Linked DNA regions of Arabidopsis thaliana. The protein of the gene in region 3 interacts with the protein of the main gene of each other region in a pairwise test. Each region holds a gene or a part of one and is shown on either strand. Other genes may lie near its edges.

What was found.
Region 1: the proteins of RGS1 (region 3) and B ALPHA interact in a two-hybrid assay, tested with the Arabidopsis thaliana proteins (one large-scale study listed by BioGRID).
Region 2: the proteins of RGS1 (region 3) and RER1 interact in a two-hybrid assay, tested with the Arabidopsis thaliana proteins (one large-scale study listed by BioGRID).
Region 4: the proteins of RGS1 (region 3) and SUS4 interact in a two-hybrid assay, tested with the Arabidopsis thaliana proteins (one large-scale study listed by BioGRID).

Annotation. Positions count from the first base shown.
Region 1 is NC_003070.9:19,162,214-19,170,094, reverse strand, and holds the start of B ALPHA (protein phosphatase 2A 55 kDa regulatory subunit B alpha isoform), read right to left. Parts: upstream 6,021-7,881; 5' UTR 5,972-6,020; coding exon 5,863-5,971; exon of another isoform or gene 5,499-5,862; coding exon 5,405-5,498; exon of another isoform or gene 3,948-5,404; coding exon 3,766-3,947; intron 3,484-3,765; coding exon 3,362-3,483; intron 3,273-3,361; coding exon 3,177-3,272; intron 3,091-3,176; coding exon 2,971-3,090; intron 2,734-2,970; coding exon 2,527-2,733; intron 2,135-2,526; coding exon 2,043-2,134; intron 1,808-2,042; coding exon 1,689-1,807; intron 1,576-1,688; coding exon 1,452-1,575; intron 1,162-1,451; coding exon 1,038-1,161; intron 922-1,037; coding exon 853-921; intron 770-852; coding exon 678-769; intron 580-677; coding exon 502-579; intron 415-501; coding exon 347-414; intron 258-346; coding exon 121-257; 3' UTR 1-120. UniProt on the Arabidopsis thaliana protein: The B regulatory subunit may modulate substrate selectivity and catalytic activity, and may also direct the localization of the catalytic enzyme to a particular subcellular compartment.
Region 2 is NC_003076.8:7,598,571-7,604,167, forward strand, and holds RER1 (reticulata-related 1), read right to left. Parts: upstream 3,953-5,597; 5' UTR 3,004-3,952; coding exon 2,434-3,003; intron 2,359-2,433; coding exon 2,260-2,358; intron 2,174-2,259; coding exon 1,950-2,173; intron 1,816-1,949; coding exon 1,746-1,815; intron 1,662-1,745; coding exon 1,582-1,661; intron 1,472-1,581; coding exon 1,407-1,471; intron 1,019-1,406; coding exon 825-1,018; 3' UTR 511-824; downstream 1-510. Other genes in the region: AT5G22791 (F-box family protein), read right to left, coding at 5,009-5,597. UniProt on the Arabidopsis thaliana protein: May play a role in leaf development.
Region 3 is NC_003074.8:9,530,639-9,536,140, forward strand, and holds RGS1 (REGULATOR OF G-PROTEIN SIGNALING 1), read left to right. Parts: upstream 1-1,974; 5' UTR 1,975-2,244; coding exon 2,245-2,324; intron 2,325-2,760; coding exon 2,761-2,881; intron 2,882-2,976; coding exon 2,977-3,040; intron 3,041-3,121; coding exon 3,122-3,206; intron 3,207-3,310; coding exon 3,311-3,384; intron 3,385-3,478; coding exon 3,479-3,759; intron 3,760-3,844; coding exon 3,845-4,083; intron 4,084-4,160; coding exon 4,161-4,285; intron 4,286-4,374; coding exon 4,375-4,496; coding exon of another isoform or gene 4,497-4,505; exon of another isoform or gene 4,506-4,521; intron 4,522-4,583; coding exon 4,584-4,772; 3' UTR 4,773-4,991; downstream 4,992-5,502. Other genes in the region: AT3G26085 (CAAX amino terminal protease family protein), read left to right, coding at 204-273, 364-746, 823-883, 979-1,103, 1,185-1,247, 1,332-1,456, 1,618-1,759.
Region 4 is NC_003074.8:15,178,506-15,185,826, reverse strand, and holds SUS4 (sucrose synthase 4), read left to right. Parts: upstream 1-1,721; 5' UTR 1,722-1,962; intron 1,963-3,162; exon of another isoform or gene 3,163-3,221; 5' UTR 3,222-3,249; coding exon 3,250-3,353; intron 3,354-3,449; coding exon 3,450-3,728; intron 3,729-3,809; coding exon 3,810-4,002; intron 4,003-4,084; coding exon 4,085-4,420; intron 4,421-4,503; coding exon 4,504-4,599; intron 4,600-4,670; coding exon 4,671-4,844; intron 4,845-4,935; coding exon 4,936-5,052; intron 5,053-5,138; coding exon 5,139-5,305; intron 5,306-5,402; coding exon 5,403-5,627; intron 5,628-5,712; coding exon 5,713-6,276; intron 6,277-6,354; coding exon 6,355-6,493; intron 6,494-6,590; coding exon 6,591-6,623; 3' UTR 6,624-6,817; downstream 6,818-7,321. Other genes in the region: AT3G43180 (RING/U-box superfamily protein), read right to left, coding at 6,890-6,957, 7,185-7,308. UniProt on the Arabidopsis thaliana protein: Sucrose-cleaving enzyme that provides UDP-glucose and fructose for various metabolic pathways.

The DNA.
Region 1 (7,881 bases), on a different chromosome or scaffold from region 3:
AATCATGATGATGTATATAGCAATCCCCATCAATCAAACCATACGGAACCAAGAAAAACAGAGTCTAGAGCAAGGAAATGCGCCTTTTCTGCTTCTTCTTCTTTTTTGCTGAGTATTGAGTTAAGCATAGTACATGTACAAGCTATTTGCAGCGGCGCAAGCAATTGAGTTCTCGTTTGGATGCCAAGCAAGATGCAGCAGCTTTGTTGTGTAATCAAGAGCATTAGTATTCCCATCGACTCCCGGACTCTCTGATCCTGTTTTACAAATTTCAGTATTTATTCTATTCATGCCAATTTTTTAATAATGCTTAAACGAGCGAGATGATAGAGAGAGAGATACCGACCTCTACTTACGACACGCGTTATACTGCTTAGTGCTCTGGATGGCCTCGACGGAATTGGGACATGTCTCCTATGATAAACCACAACACAAATTCCATTTCACCAAGAGAGAAAAAACAGAAGAGCACACTACTGTTAATGGCTTTACCAAGTTTACCTCATTGGGTTTCTGCTTGCTTCTAAGGTTGCCGTCTCAGTACTTCCGGGGGCAACACCAAACACACGGAACAGATTGCTGGAAAGTGTATGAAACCGAACAAATGATTTATACAAGGAATCATAGTCATTCGAAAATGCGAATAACAAAATAAGATGCTCTGCTTCTTGGCATACCTGTAAGAACCTGTAGCTGCTCGCAAGCCATTGCCACTTATACAACACTCGAACTTGTCAAAGATGGAATCATTTTCATATAAATCACAGAGCTGAAAATGACCACAAAGGGAATACCATTCAGCAAAGCACCAACTCGCCAAATGTATCTCTCTCAAAATATTAGGAAACTGACCTTTGGTTTCAAATATTCATGAACCTGGAAAGTTGCTACTGGACCTGCGTCCATGTTGATGTCCCATAACTGGCATGTAAAACATAACATGGGGTCAGTTTACCTTACACGAACAAATCGAAACCAGCCACTGATAACTTCGAGGGGATATCATATTGAATGATGAAAACAGTGAAAATATGGACCTTAAGTGTCATATAGTCACGGCTAAGTAGATATCTTCCTTCTTTTGCAAATTTGATGTCTGAGACTGAAGCAATTATCTCAGTAAAGAACGATTTAGGACCTGCTTGCTCTGGTTCCTCAAACCTGCAGAAACAAGCAATATTAGCCTTTGCTGCTACCACAGGTTATCAAATCCTACAAAAGAGTAATGTCATTAATTTGCTCTCATGCAGCTTTATCCATCTCAATATTAATTGAGTATTACATGGTATGATGCTATAAACTTATCTCTCATGTTGGAATAAAATGTTTAGCAATCAAATTTTGATGAAATAAAGAAGTAATTGAGATGATTATACAAGTTTTTAGATCCTCCTTTCAAGATATACTGGACTCTAAAAAAACTTAACATAATTGCCAGTCTCAAGACTTACAATTTTGAATGTGAATCACATAAAGCTGACTGGCGCAGATCAATCAGGCGAATTGAACCTTTCGAACTGCTATAGGCTAACATATTGCAATGGGTAGGATGAAATTCTGCTGATGTGATAACCTCTGCATGAACGAATATGGTCGTAAATTCGAAGGATATCGCATCCAATTGCATGATAAATGGGTACCGTATAAGAGAACATATTAGACTGAGATAACAGTAGACCAAGGCTTACCAGATAGATCTTCCATTTTCGCAGGCTTGACATCAACAATATTGAAACTTTGATTGCTAATTTCCAGATTCCAAAGATTAATTCGCAAATCATCAGCAGAAATAAATGTTTCGCCGTCGCTAATTATAAGAGAAAAATTATTAGGAGCAGAACATTATCAATGAAAGTATAGAACTCGAGCTAATATCAACAAGGTGTCCGTTTGGATAGGAACTTGAAAAGGTGCATTGATTATCTGGATAGACAATGATTTATCAGACGACTTATAGTGACATCATTGAATTTTTTGCGGACAAATAAAGCAGTTGCTAGTAAGAAGGAAGCAAGTTGAATTCCAATGGGTGAATAACCTACCTGTTATTTGAGATTGAATTAATATGATAATCATGAGCATGAGCATATACTCTTCGACATCTAGCCACAGGGCTCGACTCATGGCTAGTTACCTGTATATGTCAAATGAACTATTAGTCTACAAATGAGCAATATTAAGTAATATTGCATGACTTAAGAATCAATTCCTAATCAGTGGTAGTGAAGGCCATGGAATGGGAAAATGCACAAGTACGAAAAACACAAGTCCAGCACCAATGAACAGTAAATTTGAGCAAAGTGTATCATTTTTCTGGACGCATATACTACATGATATGATCTATATTACTTCGACTCAATTGGCGCCAATGCAAAACCCTGCATTTGAGTTTTAGCAATCACCCAGAAAGAGGTTAGATAAATGGTTGGCTCTATGATGCAGGTTTTACTTAAGTTAGTGCTGAAACAAGCATAAATATTTAGGAAGACACAGAGAATAAAGAAAACATATTGTTCAGGGTACAACTACCACTGGTAATCGCAGCGAAGAGATGCCTCCTGCTGGCAATGAGAAGTCATTACATAAGGAGTTGTTCACTTCAGATACTCCTCCATTCACAAGGCATGAGTTTGTAATGTTTGAATTGCTCGAGCTTGCAACGGTTCCGTTTCCTACAGTTCTTGAAGGATCTGAATTCATATCACAGATTTTCTTGATCTTCTTGTCTTGAACCTGTTAAGACTCTCACATAAGAAAAAGAGGAAAGAAACTCTGTACTAATTAAGGATGTAGAACCATTTAGATACACACCAAACAATGTCAACGCCAGAGAGTTCAAATTTCAACGTTCTAAAGATTGAATATGAAAGTATCAGCTTTACACCTTAAATATCCAGAAGCAAACAAAAACTTCCTATCTTAACAGTATGTCATTCAGAGGCAAACAAACGAAATAGATGAAGTTTTCACCTTCCAAAACTTGATGGTTTTATCATTGGTCGAGAGGAGAAAAAGAGCTCCATTTGCTGTTTGACACCATCTAATTTTGTTAATTTTCTCCTCTATCTCCAAACTCTTGAGGTAATCAAACTGGTAAACAAGGATAGAGCATGAAAAGACAGATAAAAGGTATAGCCAAATAGCTGAGTAAGAAGAAAACAGAGTAAATCAAATACCTCAGGGTCATGACTCTGAAACTCTGTTTTATAACGAAACTCTGGATGCCTCAGTGGATAATCAGCTTCTTCAAGCTCTCTTCTGGTTCCACTGCTCTGTAATCCACAGCATGCAACAACAACATATAACCAAAATGATCCAAATCCCATATCAGAAAAACGATTACAAGGTAAAGTGGACATACATTATTGGTATCGGTTCTCTCGAAAAGAACAACACGTCCTCCACGGTCCCCAGTAGCAAGATGGTTTCCAGAATTATCAAATTCAATCGCTGAGATTATATCAACTGCAGAGGAAACACCAGCTACAGTTTTTAAGAAATTTCAACTAAAATTCAGAATAACATCGATTCAGCAAAACGAAAAACGACTATTGAATCTAATTCAACTACAAAGCTTACAACTTTCAATTTACCCAGATACAAAGTAGACCAAAAATCAAAACTTTTTCATTGAATCGAACAATCAAAGAACACCCAATAGATCTAACATATCCAGATTCAAAAACCCCAATTCCGAATAGATCGAATAGTGAGCTGATGAAAATCAAAAGCACAGAGAGACAAAGTCAAAGAGAGATGTGTAACCTTCTTGAACTTCTTCACCAGCGCTTCGTTCACCGAAGACCTGAGAGAATCTCCATTCCAAAGGCAGAGATGGGTCTGCCGAAGCTGCGACGACCTCATCACCACCGTTCATTTCCCTCTCTCTCTCTCTGTCTCTCGCTCTCTCCGATTCACACACACTCCTCTCCTTGGGATAAGATAATCTAATTGATCCGACGATGAGGAATTAGCCGGATCGGGAAATCAGAGATTCTGATTAGGAGACAAACCGGATGGAGCTCGTCGCCGATAGATGATTGAAGCAAATCGATGAAGGAGGAGAAGAAGAAGAGTATCAGATGATTCCCAGATTTCGACAAACAAATAAAATCACACAACACTCTCTTTTTTTTTCTCTCTTTATTAAAAAAACAAAACTAAAAAATGTTAATATTATTTGGTATTAATTTTTTCTTATTTTTGGTTTTATCACTTTTTCTGGAATTAGTTCACAGCTTTTAATATATTACTAATTGTAAAAATTTAATGCAGGGAAATCTCATTTATTTTCAAACTTACATTTTTCTCTAAACGACTAATTTGAGATAAAAACAATATATTTCTTTTTTTTCACAGTGTTGAAATTTAGTGGATGTAGATTTTTTTCATTTTTAAGCTTTCTTTTTTTTTTTTGGATAAAGATATGTGTTCCTACATGTTGGAAAAAAGAGAAGAAAATATATACTGTAGTTCCTACTTCACAATATACATTTGTCTTTATCCATTTAAATTACAGTTTCACATGACAGTTTGTGTATATAAAGATCTCACTAGTAATGTAAGGGTCAAAACAAAAAGTGAGAGTTATGTCTTCTCTGGAAACTTAATAATATTTTGATTTTAAATATGAGTATTATAATTTTAAATAACGATATAATAAAATTAAACTTCATCATGAGAAAATAATAGTCATATCTGCTTAGCTGTAAATTGGCTTTTTTGGTTGTTGATATAATTCCACAAAGGAAGATAAAAAACAAGACCGTTTATTTTCGGTTAAGAAAGAAACAACTAACACTCTTCTTCGCTCTACTTTGATCACATATCACTAACTGTGATTCTATGAACACAGTTTAAAACAACGTCCGCCGGAATCTTAGGATCATATGGTACGCGATGGCGGAGCGAGAATGTGGATAACTGACCAAGAAGTCTCTCCAAAAACTATGGTGTAATCAAGCAAGGAAGATCACTAATTAGCTTAATTATATATCTTTCTATATCTCAATACCCTGAATCTCAATCATGATACGATTAAATGTTCATCGAATTTCGAATTTTTAATCTAATTTTACATTTGTTGTTTTAATCCCTAATGTGGTACTTAACGAGTAGCTATATAATTAGTGATCAACATAGAAAATGAAGGCTTCTACGAAGAAAAGAATGATGGTTCACTGAATCTCTTTAAGCTAGCCAGATGCAGCATAGATACAAAGCACAATTCTTGAGACTAGTAGATTAGTAGTGATTCACTTGTACTTACGTTCATTTTAACGTACAGTAGCAAATCTGCGAGAAAACCGTTGATTTTATTGTTATAGACTTGAAAACTATTTTATAGCTTGTGGATGTACATTGAACCTTCATTAACTCATGTTTGCCTTATGCAGAGGGATACTCCGTTTTTTTGCTCTCTTGTGCATTAAAACTGAACACAAAACATAGATTTTTCGCATTATTGTCCATCCACTGGTAGCAGTTTAGTTGCAGAGCTTTAAGGTAAGAATACAAACAGAGACTAATAAACTGTAATGATTTGAAGGACTATCAAAAATATAATAAAGGTGAAAAATCAGTATCTTGTAACAGTTTTGACTTTTGAACTATGATGCTTTACTTTAATTGGCCTTTTTCAGTGGTGGCTCGCTAGGTCAAGTGGCCTCTGTTGATGATTTCGTATACGATTAGGTGACTGATAACCGTTGCATATTTATGAAGATTGTTGCTGACTTTGTTTTTTTTATGAGTAGATAACATTTTTTACGTTCATAAAAGGTGAAACAAGGTTTTCGCAATGTGTTCGAGTTTAGTTGCAAGAAAATGAGATTTGAATTTATCAAGATTGAAAAGTGTTACCTGTCTCTTGAAAAATTCTTTTGCTGACTCCTAGAAGTGTTGCAGCTGAAGGTACTAACAAGCAAACAATCAGCAAAATAAACTTTATTTCTTCAATATTTTGATTCATTTTTCTGGTTAAGAAGACGAAGTAAGGTGGTTACACAGATAATGACACTAAACAATAGCACATAAGATTTGGATTATGAGAGGAGTTGAGAAGTTATATGATGGAAACTGAAAAGTAAATCTTTTTGCAGAGCTGTAGAATCAATCAACATTTGATGACTTGGACTTCTTCACCATGTGTGTTGGTGTGGACCATTGAATTGACGGTTTTGCCATTCACCAACAACAGCATGAGTTTTTGAGTCTTCATGTTTGGTAAAGGTTAGGCTTATTAGGAGACACGGGTAAGAGACTAGAGAGAGACATTCTCCAAACCTTTCTTTTGCATGTTTTGTAAGAAACATTTCCGAAAATGAAAGAAATCTTACACAACATTCATATAATTTGTTTGAAATATAACAAAATGATAATTTATACTCTCAAGTAAAATGCCTAAACTTTTATCAATTGGAAAAGACATCACACACAAGCGTGAAGCGTATCTTATTACCAAACCCAACTAAGCATGGGTCTCGATACTTGCCATAATTACTTTAATCCATTCTCTTTTTGAGAAATGTATAAAACATGACTTTGCATAAATAGTCTTTTACTAATTACTATGTAAATAATTCCTAAGACTGGTTTCATGGTACATATTATCGTTTTATCCTTGTTTTAAGAATATTCAGATGTTTGGTCTATGGAATATAGTCTATTCTTCATGTTTAAAACTATTATTTGATAAGAAAATATGTACTAATATGTTTTTGCATACAAATGTTGATCAGTTCGTAGCATTTGAATTAATACATTCTCAATCACTTTCAAGCATTATTATGTAATAAATGATTCATGTCGAAAAGTAATAGTATCACTGTCCATTACATTTGGCATATATATTTTTTTGTCAAAGCCTTACATTTGGCATATTGACGAAGCAGTTTTGTATTCACTTATATTTTGACATCGCTTTCACAAAAATAAATAGCTATATATGATTATTATCCATTAATTGTCTCTTTTCTTTTGCTGACACAATTGGTTGTAAATGCAATGCCAATATCCATAGCATTTGTGTGGTGAATCTTTTTCTAAGCCTAATAGTAAATAAATCTCAATACAAGAACCCATTTACGAACAAATCAAACCAAGTTGTGATGGGTTAGTACTTAGTAGCCCGTTTGAAATGTAGAATTTTTGATGAGATTTTACGTTTTATATAGATTTTTCTCAGAAAACAAAAAATTCTTGCATCTTGCATTTTGGTCATTTGTAAATATTTTTTTAGTCTTAAAAAAGACCCAAATTCTTATTAATTTCAAAATTTTCGGTCTCTAATACCTCCGGTTTTAAAAAAAAACATATCAGTTGAAGGATGAGTTTGGTGAAGGCTATATTGTCCATTGATTTTGGAGATATATGTATTATGGTCATGATTATTACGATTTTTATATAAAAGAATATTAAAAATGGTGGGGTTGGTGAAGAAATGAAGATTTATCGTCAAATATTTCAATTTTTACTTGGACTATTGCTTCGGTTATATCGTCAACATGGGCCCACTCTTCCACCAAAGCCCAATCAATATATCTCTCGCTATCTTCACCAACCCACTCTTCTTCTCTTACCAAACCCATTTCCTTTATTTCCAACCCTACCCCTTTATTTCTCAAGCTTTACACTTTTAGCCCATAACTTTCTTTTTATCCAAATGGATTTGACTGGTCTCCAAAGTTGAATTAAATGGTTGTAGAAATAAAATAAAATTATACGGGTTCAATTGTTCAATTGTTCATATACCGTTGACGTTCAATTGTTCATATACGGGTTCCGTGGTCGTTGGTAATATATATGTCTTTTATGGAACCAAAATAGACCAAATCAACAACAAATGAAGAAATTGTTAGAGTATGATACACTCATATATAC
Region 2 (5,597 bases), on a different chromosome or scaffold from region 3:
CCTTTGAACAGTCGTCAGCTTTTGATTACCATTTGGTATTCACATTAATTAATCTATAGGGCATATAATATAAATTGTTCAAATTAAGTAAAGGAGTATAAATAAAATATCATTAAGGGGCACAAAACAGAAACAAGAGAACAAAAGATGAGGATCATGCAGCAGTTGGATGACAGTGGTTACTAAGCTGTCACTCGCAAGATCCTCCATCTATCGAATGATGCCTTACCATCAAAGTATCCTAAGAATATTTTCCTTGCAAATAAATATCGAAAGATTTTTTTGTAATATACTCACTCATAGTTGCTTTAAATATTTTTATTTATTACTTTTAATATCTCCACCTACCAACAATTCTCCTTTTCCCCTTCTCACTTTTAACGGTGGGAAAAGTGAAAAAAAAAACACAGAAGAATGAATCAACGCAAACGTCAAAAATGACGTTTAGTTGACATAATTCGCCATTGTGATCATATTGTTATAAACTTTATAAAAACGCAGAGGCTAACGGCTGATAAAAAGTTTGAGTCATTATTGCAAGTATATGATTCAGAAAAATGAATAAGAGAGACAAGGATACCATGAGAAACTCAACTTCCAAAACCAAATTGAAAATGTTGTATCGAGTAGTATTCCGGTTAGAAGAATCCGGTCCGTATCATGAACCAGATTCTCTTTCTGTAGCTCTCGGTAAATAACCTAATCACACTAATGAAACTCAGATAACTAAACTTCCCCATCAGATTAGAGATACTCTCATACTCCTGAGGATTGACATCTAGGCTAGTTTACTATCCGGTTTGTAACAAAACCGAACCGGTTGATTACTGAACGCCGGACAATTTAGCCCAATCTACAAATTGCATACCGCCATACACATTGTTAGCAAACCGGACTCCCACCGTGAATGCCATAGCGACCACAGGGATACGTTTGGCCGCTGTAGAACCTTCCACGACGCGTTCGAGGCCGTTGATGATTTGGTAACGCGCATTGGAAGATAAGCCGAGGAACACACCTGAACAACAGCGCAATACAGAGAAGAGAGTGAATATATATGTATATGTAATCAACAATTCACAGAGTAAACTTCAGGGTTATCTCTGAGCTCAGCAACTAAATTACCCTCTCCATTGATCTAATATTGCTAACAACAGGACAATGTAGCTAATATCTTCACATAGAATTGTAAGCATAATCTATTCTTGGTATCATTGGCAATTCAGGTTCTTTCCTTTCTAAGAAACTAAGCCCGGTTAAGAAACCGATGGCTGATCACAAGAACTCGGAAAAAGAGTAGACAACACAATATCGACGGTTCAAGACTATCGTTTTCAGTGAACATCAGAGGGGAAAAGCATCGATGATTCTGTAGAACATAGTTAGAGATCAAAAGTAAAGCTTACCCCAGAGAGCAGCGCTTTCGAAAAGAGGTGGAATAGGGACGTCTTCCTCTGATTTCTTCACACTCCTATTAACAAAGGTAACCTCAAATTTCAGTGAAGAACAGTTTTTTAAACAGTCAGAAGATTCATTTCATCATTGAAAAGTAGCAAGATAAAGTCGATGGTGAAAGAATACCGTTTTGCTGTCATGATCAGATTTGCAATTCCCTGACCAATGAGGCCGCAGCCGAATCCAACCGACCCATACAAGAGGCCCTGGACCAAGAATCACATCAATTAATCAAACCAAAGGTAAGCAAGATCCACAAAGGACATTAAAGCAATAGTTCTTCTCCATACCTTGTAGAAGAATGTTGCAATCCGCTGGTTAACTGAGAATTTACAACCCGGTCTTTCTGCTTCAAAAACACTTCAGAAGTACAAAAAAAAAAGCATGTATAAGTACATCTCATCCCGAATACACAGCCACCAGCTCGATAGATATCAGTGGGAACAGTTAACACAAAAGTGAAAAAAACGAGAGAGATACAGTAACAGTATTACCTGCTAGGAAGGGATGCACAAGCACGTTTAAGATCCTTGAATAAACCTGTTGATGCCACAGACGGCTTCCCGATACGTGCATAAGGAGCCAAAAGTCCAACCAAGGCAACATCAACCACAAGACCAACTAAAAGATCAGCAGCATATAACTCAAACTCTGACCAGAAATCTTCCCCTCTCTTCTGTACTTCTGCAAAAGTTGCACAGCAAGAGTCTATGGCTACCTGCATTAAATCCGTAGAACAAGATCATTCAATTTCAATCCTAAATAACTAGTCCAAGAACAGCATTAGCTTATTCATTGACAAACCTCGGTTCCAACTTTGAAGAGAAATGAAGGATCTGCAAGCATTCTATTTCGAAGCATCGCACATGATCTCATCAGAAACCCAAGCGGCCAAACAGAACCCTACGAAAAAATTCAGACTCAAACATGAATCACCATCATACAAAAACAGAATCATTTTTTCTCAAAAGCAAAAACCTGTAGATCAAGGTAACGAAGAAGGAACAGTTTTCGAATCCCCACGGATTTAGCCGCTTCCAACATATCCTCCGGTAACGTAATCCCTCTACGTTCTGTCTCTTTCATAACTTCTTCAAACTTCAAAATCGGACCAAACTCCTTCTCCTCAGCTTTATCTGCTTCATCCTCTCCATCATCTCCTTCTCCATCTCCACCTCCTCCTCCTCCGTCTCCATTACCACCATTTCCACCACCGTCGTTGTTCCCATTCTCATCGCCGCCATCACCATCATCAAGTTCCGGCTCCAAATCGCTTAAAGTCTCATCTTTTACGCCACTATAAGCCCAATCCGGTATCGATCTACCGGATATTTCACCCGTAACCACATCCGATCCTACACATCGGTTTCTCAAATTCCGAGAAGACAAGTCCGAATTTAAATGGATCCGTCTAGATTCAACACCAGGGCTTCTACGGAAACAAACCGATCTAATTTCAAACCTTTGACTCACTCTGCATTGCTTTACACTATTGAACCCATCGTTGGAGAAACTTGAAATGTGGGAAATTTTTAGGGAAATAGACATTTGCCTCTTGGGTTTCTATGATCTGTGGATAGAAGATCAAATACCCAGATGCTTAAAAGCTTCAAATGTCTGGAATTTTGGAGTAAAGACGAAGATGACGGAGTTATGTATGTATGCGTTTGATCAGTTGGGTTTAAGGGTTTTGAACACAACACTCTTACCTTGATGGAGACGACCAACCAAGGAGGAGAGAATAATCATGTACGGTTCTGTCTACAGAAAGTTTAGCAAATGGCGGCACATAATTGGTTGAAAAGATTCAGTTAGACAAAAGTGAAGCTCTTCTCATTTTTTGTTCAGAGCCGGCCCAAATGGGGTAAAGCCAGCAGAAGTACCAAAAATCGCCCCCAACATTCGTTTCTTTTTGTTTGTCATCTAAGGATTGTGAGATATTTCTGTATCTGATCTTCAGAGTCAGTTTTCTCCACAAGATGATGAAATAAACTCTATGGTTCTAATCCCTTTTTCTAAGTGTTTGATATAGGTGAATCTTGCTTTAATCCTTGTGTATTTTTCTGGCAGTGTGTCCACTGAGGTGAAGTCAAAGCTGACGAGCTCATGAAGTCAAAACTTCAGAAAGAATGGTAGGCTAATTAATACTGAGGATGGATGTCTGATATTCCATTCCATGCTTTGTATGTTGGTTTGCAAGATTCGGAATTGATTGGTCCTGTTTTAAGACCAAAAGCATTGCCATCTTATAGATATCAAGCGGCTCTAATTTTGGATACTTTGAGGTTGATTCCAGAGTGGAGATTGATTATTGAAGATGCATCAGCAAATAGCAGTCCTTTGTAAAGGCCTTATTCGTTAAGGTGTTTAGTATAGGTGAAGAGTAGTTATGGTGCGTCTGTTTTATTGTTTCCAACCTGATGTTTGTTGTGGTCTCATCCTAATCAATATATATTTTCAGATGACAAAAAAAAACTCACAAACTGCAAGACAAAACTTTGCTAAAGCACTTTCAAAGATTAGTCTCATGAGGCTCTATAAAAATAGTATAGAACCAAAGCAAAATCTTTTAAACAAAAGAAAATATATATCTCCAAAGAAAGGAGAAGCTAAGAGCATCCACAATGGTAGGTTATTAGCAAAGGCTTTTAGTAATATTTTATGAATTGATTTTGAAAGTTTTGTTAAGAGTTTGGGTAAGAATTTTAAGTTTTGGCATGATCAATGGTAGTATATTAAGTTGAGGTTCTTAATTTTTCTAAAAAAAAACTTAATAAGAGTAAAGTGAGGAGAGTCAAGAAATGAACTTCATCTAAAAGAAAGGAACAAGACTGAAACTCACATTCTTGATAAACCAATTGAGGTTTCGAACATGAAACCATCTTTTAAGGGACCAAATCTTGTAGCGTTTCCACTTTCGATTACATCGTCCAACAAACAATCAGAATTCTCTGAAACTATACTATTTAGAATTACAATTTGTCATCTTAAGATACATATTTCTCTGAAACTAATACACAAAATCAAAGAGTCTGTAGACAGAATTCATTTAGGCATATCATCGAACACATGGTATGCAATATATAATAAGCTTTAAATCTTCAGTCAAAAGCTAATGAATCCATCATTGACTATATTACAAAAGCTAATGAATTGATAAAAAACACTTTCTGAATTCCAACTTCTACAATTTCAACATTGTTTACAAACGAAAATTACATAATTTTACCTATTAAAGGAGAAAATGCTTCGAAACTGAGAAGATGACGATGATGGAGAGGATTACGGAGAGAGACGATGGTAGTGGCCTCAAAACAACGCCGGTAACTATGAGTTCGATGAAGAATTGATGCTCGTGAGAGGAACAAAAGGGAAATAATGTTTTTTGTGTTTCATAAAAAAGAAAATACTACACCATTGACACGTCAACATCTTTTAGAAAGTAACAACCGCTCTTACATAAGAGCGCCTCTTGTAATAGAAAGCATTATTGATTTAATTTTATTCAATCAAAAAGCTAAGAACCACTCTAAAACCCCTCGTTGCGGATGGTCTAATGAAAGAAGATAATATTCTCAATGTGACCTGGAAAACACAACATTTCACGAGTACGCTTACCAATTCCATGGATACGTCTAAACTCATAATCCGCAATTCCATCAATCTCACATCTTCTAATACTCTCCCTAGTTATATCACAATAGTTAACAAAAAATGGCATATATGACTTTAACCTCGCAGGTGTGGAAACAATCATAACCTCGCCCGTATGAATCTTTCCGGTGCACAAAGATCTCTCTTTTTCAAACAAATCTCCCCACTCACTAGGCACATCACAAGTTATGATGCTTGACCATTCTTGTTTCTCAACATCTTGTAGAATATACATACCCATCTCAGTGTTACAGTAGGGGTCAAACGCTACACATGCTAATTTTCCTTGGTAATTTATAAGTGTTGAATAACATGAGATTGCATTAAAGTCTTCTGGTCCTTGAATGAACTCAATCTTCTCGGTTCTAACATCAAATCTAGCTATTTTTCTATACAAAACTCCATAGTGTATAGCACCATCTATGCAAATCCCACCTTTCATGTGGCGGTAAGGATCTTCTTCTTTGGTTATGTCAATCTTTCTCCAC
Region 3 (5,502 bases):
TTACAATAAAAATTTGGTTTCATTTCTTCTTCTTTCTTGGTGCGTTTTCTCTGATAAACGACGCCGTATGAAGCTGGCGAGACACAGACCTCTCATTTCGACGCTTTCTTCTTCGTGAAACTCTTCATTTGTTTTATATTGGAAACAGAGTCTCTCTTATGAATCAAAGCGACAAACTTTGAGAAGGCAGGCGAAAATCTCGGATGGGTTCCATCGCTCTGCAATCTTGGAGCAGAGGAGCTTCAACTTCTCTTCATCTCCTTTTTCGTCCAGGTAGGTAAGTGCGATTCCTAACTTGATATGATCATATATATGAGAATTCGACAAAGATTTTTGGTTGAAATTTGCTTACTTGATGATCAGTTGGCTCGAACCCTAAGCTATATGATGCTCGAAGAGTACAAGTAAGATTCTTTAATGTTGCCGCTTCTTGGTCCGAACAGATGATCTCTTATACTATAGTCTGTTTATTTTGTCTTTTGGGTTTTAAGTTTGATGTAAGAGCCTCTTCAAGTCGTAAATCACTTAAGAAACTCAAAAGAGAGTCACAACAAGGTAAAGACATAGGCTTAAGAAATGTTACAGATGAAGAAGTTTCTTCTCCAAGATTTGAGGAAGCTCAAGTTGATTCTTCAACTTCAAAGGACTCCATTGATGTTTTTGTTGCTGCTCCTCGAGACAAAGTGCTTCAGGCTTGCACTGTAACTTCCGGTTTGATGGCTGCACTAGGTCTGATCATCAGAAAGGTGAATCCCAAATCTGAAAGTTTATGATTTTGTGATTCTAGCATTTGTATCTTGCTGATTTGGTTACCGCTTGCAGGCGTCTCATGTTGCTTCGACTGAAGGATTACTGGTTCCAGACTGCTCTATAGATGTACCATGTAACATCTCGGAAAACGATTATGTTGTGTACTAAGAATCCTTTGAGAGATTCAGTAACCAAAACATGTTTTGTATTGCATGATCTTTCTTGCAGTTGGGTTTGAAACTTGGCATCTCGGTTTAATTGCTGGAATCGTTGTGTTTATATCGTCAAGTAGGTTCTTGCTACTTAAATCTTGGCCAGATTTTGCTGATTCTAGTGAAGCAGCAAACCGACAGGTCAAAACATTACACATTATATACATTTATACGATTCTTTAAACTCCGCTTATTGTCTCCTTTGGTATTCACTACTTGCAGATTCTCACTTCCCTCGAACCTCTAGATTACCTTGTTGTTGCAATGTTACCGGGAATAAGTGAGGTAACAATAAACAATCACAATAAAACACAGAAAGGCTCTCCTTTAGAAAATGTCGTTCATTGGTTTGATTTGGTGTATTCACAGGAGCTGCTGTTTAGAGGTGCATTAATGCCTTTGTTCGGAACTAATTGGAATGGTATTGTAGCGGTTGGCCTCATTTTCGGTTTACTTCATCTCGGGAGCGGAAGAAAGTATTCTTTTGCAGTTTGGTAAGCCGTTTTTACTGAACATTTTGGTACCTCAATGCTGATGAGAATTGCGTAGACCGAATCTTGATATTAGATGATTGCCTTTAACATGTTCTTGCATCTCTCTATCACATTTCCGAGGTTTTCCTATTGAATTCTTTGCGGTTTCTTGAAATTTTCAGGGCTTCGATTGTCGGTATAGTCTACGGTTATGCAGCTGTTTTGTCGTCGAGTCTTATCGTTCCAATGGCCTCGCACGCACTCAACAATTTGGTGGGAGGTCTGTTGTGGCGATATAGTTCCAAGATCAAGTCATTGGAGTGAAATAAACAAAATTTACAACAGGGTTGAATTAAAAAAGTATACAATTTTAATGGGTGGGTTTGTGAAATCTCTCAATAGTATAGGGTGGTTATGTCAAAAATCTATAATAGAGGGTGGTTATTGTAATTTTAATGTACCAACTTGTCACAAAGGACAAGTATGAAAAATCTATAATTATAGAAGTGAAAAGTGAAAAACCAATCAGAATTGTTACCGGAAAAAGGAAGTGTCTTCTGGTCAAAAAAGTCAGAGAAGAAGAGAGAAACGTGAACAATGAAGAGACAGAGACGTCTCTTCTCTTATGCGAAAGTGTGAATCTTTTAAAGCTTTTTGTTTCAACATCGATAAATGAAGTTTCTTTTATTGAATTTATAGAAATTTGCACACTTTACCTTGACATTAAAGCAACAAGCTTTGAAACCAAATAAAATCTCAAAAACCCAGAAAGCGAGTGGAGAAGAGAGAGCTGATATGCTACAATAGAAATGGCGAGTGGATGTGCTCTACATGGTGGTTGTCCCAGCGATTACGTCGCCGTCGCAATTTCAGTCATCTGCTTCTTCGTGTATGTGTTCGAGCTTAAAAATCCCATTTTTGGGTTTTAGTTTTGAAGATCTAGATTTTTCATTTACTGGGTTTGCTTGTTGACTCTTGACTTGAGTCAAAATCTCGAATTTTGTGTCTTTAATCGTTTAAAATTTTCATACGATGTCTCTCTTTGCTATTTTAACTCTTTGTATTGTAAGTGTTTGATGTTATGTATCAAAAGATCTGTCTTTTGTTTCGTTTCAGTTTCTTTTAGCTGGGAATTAGATGGTTTCAGTATCTTGATAGCAAGATTCATATATTATGTCGGAATCGATTATTGAACTTAGATTTGAAGTTCAAAAGCTTGATTTAATGGACTAATTGAGTGGATTTGTATCATGAGTTAACTTCCAAGTAGTTCAATTTCTCTATTAAGTTGATTCTATCTGATGGATTTCACTTTGTTTATTTAGGCTGTTATCGCGCTCAGTGTTACCGTGTTTGATTCATAAGGCTCCTCGTACTAACAGTAGCAGTTTCTGGATCCCTGTTATTCAAGTTATCTCCAGCTTCAACCTTCTCTTCTCAATTATGGTTAGACTACTTGACTTGATGATTCCGTTGCTCTTAAGAATCACTTCATTTGTTGAGTTTCTACACTAATAGACTGTTTTATATTTAATTTTCAGATGTCAGTTAATTTGCTTCGATTCAGGACGAAACATTGGTGGCGATATTGCTATCTTTGGGCAGGTTTGTTTGGAAACCATGATTCCTCATCTTCGTAAACAAATTGACAGTTATATCAATAAGTCTTGTATAATTTGGTTTCAGTGTGGATTGAAGGACCACTTGGGTTTGGTTTGTTGATGAGCTGCCGTATAACTCAGGCATTTCAACTATACTTCATATTTGTCAAGTGAGGTTCAATGTTGATCAAAATGTTTTTGGATTCCAATTCTATCTCTATTGGTGTAATTGAGTTTAATGCTGTTTGGTTGTTACATATTCTTTGCAATGTAGGAAACGTCTACCTCCGGTAAAATCATACATTTTCCTCCCCCTTGTTTTGTTGCCATGGATCTTCGGAGCTGCAAGTAAGAATTGTTCTGAACGTTATATGTACTGAGCAGTTCTTGGTTTCTCTTGTTTTGGATAATAATAACTCAAAGCTTTTGATTTTGCATTTAGTTATCCACGCAACAAAGCCTCTCAACGATAAATGCCACATGGGTCTTCAATGGACTTTCCCAGTTGCAGGCCTTCATGCTCTCTATGTCCTTGCTTTAATTGCATTCACAAGAGCAGTTCGACATGTAGAGTTTCGTTTTGACGAGCTTAGAGATCTCTGGAAAGGAATTCTCGTCTCAGCCACTTCAATCGTTATATGGGTAACAGCGTTTGTGTTGAATGAGATTCATGAAGAAATCTCTTGGCTTCAGGTTGCTTCAAGATTTGTGCTTTTAGTCACGGTATGAAAGCTAATACCAGGACTGTTCTTTATATTTGCAGTTGGAATACCTTTTTAACAGACTTCTGAGTTGATTCTTCTTTCAGGGTGGGATTCTCGTCGTTGTCTTCTTTTCCATCTCGAGTAACCAACCTCTTCTTTCACAAATCAGCTTGAAGAAAAGACAAAACTTTGAGTTTCAAAGAATGGGTCAAGCTCTAGGCATTCCCGATAGCGGATTATTATTTCGGAAGGAGGAGTTTCGACCTGTTGACCCAAACGAGCCACTCGATAAGCTTCTTCTCAATAAAAGATTTCGCCATTCGTTTATGGAATTTGCTGATAGGTACTCCATTCAATACCTGACCTCATATATATCCCGGTTTCACCATTTATTTAAACTAATTCGTTATATGCTGGTAGCTGCTACGCTGGAGAAACATTGCATTTTTTTGAAGAGGTGTATGAACATGGTAAAATCCCGGAAGATGATTCGATAAGAAGAATCTACATGGCTCGACATATCATGGAGAAGTTCATCGTCGCAGGTTAATTACATATCCATCTTCCCTCTTCTTTATAGACCTGTCTCGTGTGTTCTCTCTATAAATCTAACTAGTAATTCCTTAAAACACAGGAGCGGAAATGGAATTGAACTTATCTCATAAAACCCGACAAGAGATCTTAACCACTCAAGATCTAACTCACACTGATCTCTTCAAGAACGCATTAAACGAAGTCATGCAATTGATCAAGATGGTAAAATAACATCTCTCTTTCACTCTCTTACGCACGCCTTCAAGCTATTCTCTTGATTCTCATTTTTTTGTGCTCATGAATTTGAAGAACTTGGTAAGAGATTACTGGTCATCCATCTACTTCATCAAGTTCAAAGAAGAAGAAAGCTGCCACGAGGCAATGCATAAGGAAGGATACAGTTTTTCATCTCCAAGACTGAGTTCAGTTCAAGGCTCTGATGATCCTTTCTATCAAGAACATATGTCAAAGAGTTCCAGATGCAGTAGTCCCGGTTAAGGAGTCTAAAACTGGTACTAGACCAGAACCCAAACCAATGTTCATAGCAATCCAATCCATGTAATCTTCCTTCACATTTCTTGTACATGTCATTTTCTCTCTTGTTATACCTAACTGTAAGAGAAAATGTCCGGTTCGGATTTTGGTTTAGTTTTAAATGTGTATACCGGACAAAAACTATGGAACCATACTAATTAATATCTCGAAGAATTTATACGTATATGCCATCTGTTTCACCAAGAATAAAAAAGCACCTGCAGATTGATCTTCATGTCCTTGCAGAGTGATGATGTTGCATCACATGTTTCATGATGTGATGACATATCCATTGGCCTCGCTAAGGCTTTTCATCAACATTTTGACATAATGTTTTTTTCCACCACTATATTTTGACGTGTACAACATCTATAACGAGAAGGTGGGATGGTCATCAAATATTTCAATTTTAGAATATAATTTGTTACTGAAAAGAGAAAGTTGAAGAATTTTTTAGGTTTATCATATGATTAAATGATATTAAAAGTTTTAAATATCTATAAAATATAAAATTAAATATTGTTGAGCAGCAATAAAATGTCTTTAGGTAAGTTTTTAAAAAAAAAAATCATCTGTTACCATTTAAGCTCTAAATTATTCAGTAAAATTCTGCAAGAAATGTCAATTAAACCCTAAATTCAGTAACTTAGCCAGATTTATTCTGCTGTTAACATATAAAAATTAAATGTTCAAA
Region 4 (7,321 bases), 5.6 Mb from region 3:
GGACTTCGGGCCATCATTGCTGCTTGTTGACTTTTGTGTCCCACGTCTATCCATGGAGTAAGCAAATATATTTTATCTTAATAAGTATATAGAGAACAATATGCTCTACTAGTTTGTTTAAGAATGTTTCAGTTGGAGACTTTTTAATATATGTAAGCTCAGAAGTTGATCTCTAAAGACATGTTTACATGGGATGATTCATTTGTTATATGTACCACCAGTTGAGCATTTCAGCTCCTAATCTTGAATTGTGTGTTTTAGCTTTTAGTTTTGTCCGATAAAATGTCTTGTCGTTAAAGCTTAAAGCAGAACAGAAATGCAAATATTTCTGAACATGTATTGTTTTACTATACTTAGCTTCAATTGCATAATCCAAGAATTTTTAATTTTGCTGTTCTACTATTCTTAGCTGCAACTGTTGTAAAGATATACTTTGGTAATTTCCAAAAGATCAGTTGCATTTTCTTAAATTTCAAAAGCATAGGCAAGTACATAAATATCAAAAGAACTGGAAAAATTTGTAAATGTCATAGGATTTAGGGTAAATGTATAAATACCAAAGACACTTGGGACAATTTCATAAATATCTAAATACCTAGAGCAATTTGTTGAATACTTAGGAATCTGGTCTGATTTCTAAATTTCATAAACACCTAAAGATGGGTGCGATTTCGCATTTTAAATAGTTGACGTATGAGCCGAAAACTCGTTGCATGCAAGTATTCATCTAATAACATTTCTATAATTAGAAACCACAACAAAATTAAAAATAATAATAATAGGCCAATTTTTTTTCTTTTGTCCAAAGACCTGATTTGGGTCGTGTATGACACTGTATCTCTCCGATATTTAAGTCAGAGCTGATTTAGATAAATCTCCTCCTATTAGTTCGGTATTAGGTGAAATGGTCTGAGCGAATTCTTGCCCGGATTACTTATATCCGAGTATAATACTGACATCTTCGTCAGTTTAGATCTCTTTGAGAAATATCAAAACAAGTAACACGCTCTTCTGATCTTTGTGATATAGGACGAATTTTATAAATATATACCTTGAAGCCAACACAGAAATATCACAATATAGATTTTTTTTCTTGTTTTTCTACTGATTACCATTTCAAGTTCTTCAACAAAAGTCTCTTGAGACGTCACACACAGGAGTGACAAGTATACGTGGTAACTTTTTTTTTTTTTTTTGGACAAATATACGTGGTAACTAAAACTATGTAAGTCCAGGAATTTAAAATTTCAAGTGTATCCAACAATTGTGTATATATTAAACATTTTAAACCTACCACTATGTTTCTTCAACAAAGCCCTTCACGGCCCCACTGCCCATACACACAAACAAGTGACAAGCAATTTTGAATCCATTTGATTAAATTTAATATCTTAAGCAAATTAAAATAACAAAGAAAACAAAAACTAGCTTGCTCGTGGTAGTCTTGAAACCGTTGTTTTGTATGCCCATAGTTTACTGATGTTATTTTCTTTGGTTACTTTACTTATTAGTTTATTGACAAATTTGACATTATGATTACAATAGTGAAGCTTGGTTAATTAAATTACTTTATTGACATAATTATTATATATAAAATAATGAAGAAATTGTATGTTTTACACGCAGTACTCGATAACCAATAGAATTCTTTTTCTGTGGATCAGTATTGAGTATTGACCCGTGGGTATTGACCAACTACTTACAATTATTATAACTTAAAACAAAATTGTATCTCTCTAAACAAAGCATAATTAGTATTAAAGAAAACCAAGTTGTCGAAGAGAAGAGAGACTAGTATAAAATGATCCAACAAAGCTATTCAAATTCTTCACACTTCACTACTTATCATTTCTCTTCTTCATACTTTTCTCAAAATTTGCAATAGCTCCCTCCATCTTTCGCTTCATTCACTACATATTTCTAGTGACCTCCTTCGCCAGTGACTTTCCGTAGCAATTTAAGGTAATCTATTCTTGTAATGTATTATAATGAGAGGTTATAAGGTTTCAATGATTAGTTTAGTTTATGAAAATTTTTAATGCTCTGAATGTTTATGACATGCTAAACATTAGAACCTTCAAATATTTTTAGTTGAGTATGGTTAAAAAAGGTTTCACTGCTAATTAATTGATTTTTTTTTGGAAAAGTAAATCAATGGATTTTTGATTTCATTTTTTTTTATCTAGCAACACTAAAAATAGAATTATATACTCGGACATTTTTCCGACACATGTAACATCGCTTAGCCTAAACTAAACTATTTAACTTTTTGTTGATTGGTGGTAAGAGGAAATTAAAAGCTTTTTAGAGGGAATATGCTTTGAAAGATTCTTTAATAGTGTCATTTACTTTAGGATAAGAATAAAATTAGCATTGTCGTAAAAAGCATGCAACAAACACATTATAAACTTTTCTTCTTCTAAGAAAATAATTCAATTTAACAATTTAAGTTATTCGCTAATATATATATATATATATTTTACAAAATTTTCAGCTAACAAATCATGTTTTCATTTTTTTGTTTTTGTTAAATATGATAATCTTTCAATATATTTACTTTAGCTACTTTACGTTCCACAAAATATAAAATATTTCTTTTAATCAACAATAGATGTAAGATTTGATACCAAAAAATTTCTTGTTCATCAAGACAAATTAATGATTTATTTATATTTATTAATTAATATTAATTTTTCTTGATCTATGTGATAAAATAAAAAAGATCTTTTTTATTTTAGATATTTTAGAATGATTCAGAAAATAAAACCAATAGCGTATATTCTGTTCTACTCGTCTTCTAATTTTGAAAATAATATTTTCACAGAGAATTTTCCAGCTATATGTCGAAATCTTTTGTATTTTTTTTTGCTATAAAAGAAAATTCGTTGAATTACTTTAATTCATGGTTTGATTTATCTTTTCCTCCATTACTTATTTGAGAAGCCATAAACACCGCTGCTTTGAAATGGATACTGGATGCAAAATGTTTAAAGAAACTTAAATTGGACAGAATAAAGATGATTCTTTCAATATTTTATGTTGGAAAATATATATAATCAATTAATCATCTAACTTTAAAAAGTTAAGATAATTTTTGTATGATGGAATTTAACTAACTTTTTTCATAAGTCATAATCAATTTTTCCTTATATAGGCAAGCATTTTGAATTAACCTCTCTCCATTATCTTACTACATTTCTTCATCTTCTTATTCTCTGCAGTTTCAAAAGCTTTGTGATTGTGTTTGAAATGGCAAACGCAGAACGTGTAATAACGCGAGTCCACAGCCAGCGAGAGCGTTTGGATGCAACTCTTGTTGCTCAGAAAAATGAAGTATTTGCTTTGCTCTCAAGGTATTACAACACAACAACACTTTAAACTAACTAACTTGTCTTGTAAGATTACCTACAAAAAAAACCTAAATACTCTGTTTCTTTCTCCTTTTTTAGGGTTGAAGCCAAAGGCAAAGGCATTCTACAACACCACCAGATCATTGCTGAATTTGAGGCAATGCCTTTAGAGACACAGAAGAAGCTTAAAGGTGGAGCTTTCTTCGAATTTCTCCGATCAGCTCAAGAGGCAATTGTGTTACCACCATTTGTTGCTTTAGCTGTGAGACCAAGACCTGGAGTTTGGGAATACGTAAGAGTTAACCTCCATGATCTTGTCGTTGAGGAGCTTCAAGCTTCTGAATATCTTCAATTCAAGGAAGAGCTCGTCGATGGAATGTACGTTTTTCACCTCTTTATATCTTGTCTCTCTCTCTCTTGTTGCCCTTTTACTCAACTAATGTCATGACTATATCGCAGTAAGAATGGAAACTTCACTCTTGAACTTGACTTTGAACCATTCAACGCGGCATTCCCTCGTCCTACGCTCAACAAGTACATTGGAGATGGCGTTGAGTTCCTCAACCGCCATCTCTCGGCTAAGCTCTTCCATGACAAGGAGAGCTTGCATCCGCTGCTCAAGTTCCTCCGCCTCCATTCCCACGAGGGAAAGGTTTGATCACAAGCCACTCTCCTCTCCATTTGTTGTCTCAATAACAAAAGTCTAACATCGCTTTGTCTTTGCATCTGTGTAGACTCTGATGCTTAACAATAGGATCCAGAACCTAAACACCCTACAACACAATCTGAGAAAAGCAGAGGAATATCTAATGGAGCTGAAGCCTGAGACACTCTACTCAGAGTTTGAGCACAAGTTCCAGGAGATTGGTCTTGAGAGAGGCTGGGGAGACACCGCGGAGCGTGTTCTTAACATGATCCGTCTTCTTCTTGACCTTCTCGAGGCACCTGACCCTTGTACTCTTGAGAATTTCCTTGGAAGAATCCCAATGGTTTTCAACGTTGTGATCCTCTCTCCTCATGGATACTTTGCTCAGGACAATGTTCTTGGTTACCCTGACACAGGTGGTCAGGTCAGTAATGAAACATTTTGAAGATTTCTTCTTCTTTCTTCATTCCTTGATCGATCTTTAATCTCGTATATATATTCTTGAAGGTTGTTTACATTCTTGATCAAGTTCGTGCTCTCGAAACAGAGATGCTCCAACGCATCAAACAACAAGGACTCAACATCACTCCGAGAATCCTAATCGTAAGCTTATAGTGATTCTTCTTGTGTGTGTATGCAAAGATGTCTAAAACTGTTCTCTTATGTTTTCACAGATCACTCGGCTGCTTCCTGACGCAGCAGGAACCACTTGTGGTCAACGTCTAGAGAAAGTGTACGGATCTCAGTATTGTGATATCCTCCGTGTGCCTTTTAGAACAGAGAAAGGAATCGTTCGCAAATGGATATCAAGGTTTGAGGTCTGGCCGTATCTAGAGACTTTTACCGAGGTATAAATCCATTTTCTTCATGCAAAAACATGGATCTTGTTCACCCTTATTTGACTCAAATATATGAATAATGTGCCTTGTTTTTTCACAGGATGTTGCCGCTGAAATCTCGAAAGAGTTGCAGGGGAAGCCTGACTTGATCATTGGAAACTACAGTGATGGTAATCTTGTTGCATCCTTGTTAGCACACAAACTTGGTGTCACTCAGGTTTGTCTCTTGTTTCTATCCATAGCCATTGAGAAATATGTTGTCTTGCTCTAAAGCTAAGAATCTTTTGATTTATTATTACACAGTGCACCATCGCTCATGCTTTGGAGAAGACTAAGTACCCGGATTCTGATATCTACTGGAAGAAGCTCGACGAGAAGTATCACTTTTCTTGCCAGTTCACGGCTGATCTTATCGCCATGAACCACACAGATTTCATCATCACAAGTACTTTCCAAGAAATTGCTGGAAGGTAAAGAGAGAAGACTTGAGTCTCAAGAAAACAAGAATTTTCTACAATTTCCATTGGTTTAACGTTTGAGTTAAAAGCAACCTCTTTTCTTTTATAGCAAGGACACTGTTGGTCAATATGAGAGCCACAGATCTTTCACACTTCCCGGGTTGTACCGTGTAGTTCACGGTATTGATGTGTTTGATCCAAAGTTCAACATTGTCTCTCCTGGAGCAGATATGAGCATCTACTTCGCTTACACCGAGGAGAAGCGTAGATTAACTGCATTCCATCTAGAGATCGAGGAGCTCCTCTATAGTGATGTTGAAAACGAAGAGCACTTGTAAGCCTTTTATATGACTAATCTTGATCTTTAAATATGTCACGAAAAAAAACCTAACATTATTTATGCTTATACTTGAAAACAGATGTGTGCTTAAGGACAAGAAGAAGCCAATAATTTTCACCATGGCTAGGCTTGACCGTGTAAAGAACTTATCAGGTCTTGTTGAGTGGTACGGTAAGAACACTCGCTTGCGCGAACTGGTGAACTTGGTGGTTGTGGGTGGAGACAGGAGGAAAGAGTCACAGGACAACGAAGAGAAGGCCGAGATGAAGAAAATGTATGAACTGATAGAGGAATACAAACTCAACGGGCAATTCCGATGGATCTCTTCACAGATGAACAGAGTGAGAAACGGTGAGCTTTACCGTTACATATGTGACACTAAAGGTGCATTTGTGCAGCCTGCTCTTTATGAAGCCTTTGGGTTGACTGTTGTTGAGGCTATGACCTGTGGGTTACCGACTTTCGCTACTTGTAATGGCGGTCCTGCTGAGATCATTGTGCATGGAAAATCTGGTTTCCACATTGATCCATATCATGGTGACAAGGCAGCTGAGAGTCTTGCTGATTTCTTCACCAAGTGTAAGCATGACCCATCTCACTGGGATCAGATCTCATTGGGAGGACTTGAGAGGATCCAGGAGAAGTAAGTATAAAACTATAAGTGTGTTCTTCTTTTTTATAGTTTGAATGTTTTTAACAATCTTGTCGTGGGGTTTTGTAGATATACTTGGCAAATATACTCACAGAGGCTCTTGACATTGACTGGTGTCTACGGCTTTTGGAAACATGTCTCGAACCTTGACCGTCTTGAGAGTCGTCGATACCTTGAGATGTTCTACGCACTGAAGTACCGCCCACTGGTATACACTCTCTCTTCTTACCACACTTTATTAGACCCTTCTTAGTGTTGTTGTCTCTGGTGCAGTAATATCTCAAAGTCTCTTATTTCTCTTGTAGGCTCAAGCTGTTCCTCTTGCTCATGAAGAGTGAAAGAAGAAGATTTTCTACATTCTACAACAATAAAGATCTCTCTTTGTTATTTCACTCGTCATATTTTTCTTTCTTTTTTATGATATGCTTCACCATTGTTTTTTAAACTATTGATAATGTTTAATTATTAGTATTCAACATGAACAATGTAAAAAAAACTGATTACTAAACTACTTTAAGTCTAGCGTTAACCATAAAACATAGATCAATTATTAAAACGGCAATAACAACTAAGATAAAAGTACCGATTGCTGCTCGGCGTGCTGCTAAGCGGTGAGTGCAACCTCCTTGCTTCCATTCGGCACCACATGTGTAGCAAAACGAATAGCCACACCTATTCATCAACCATGCATAAACATTATAACAATGTTATTAATTGCGAGAGAAACATAATCAAATTTGTTTTAAAGAGCTAGAGAATGTAATGAAAATCTGCAAGTTAATTTGATGCATCCTTCCGAACGTTCGATCATGTGTTTGCAATTTCCACATTGACGCCACAATTTCTGATTTGCTAAAAATTTTAGCTTCATATCATTTGCACTAGGATTTGAACCCAACCTCTTGTAATCACCGCATGACAAGTCACTATGCCATGGAACTTTGCAGTTGATGCAAAAGGGTTCACCGCATTTGACACAACATCTCCTAACTTGAGTGTCTTGAGTAGAAGATATATAGAGCTCTGTTACCGACAT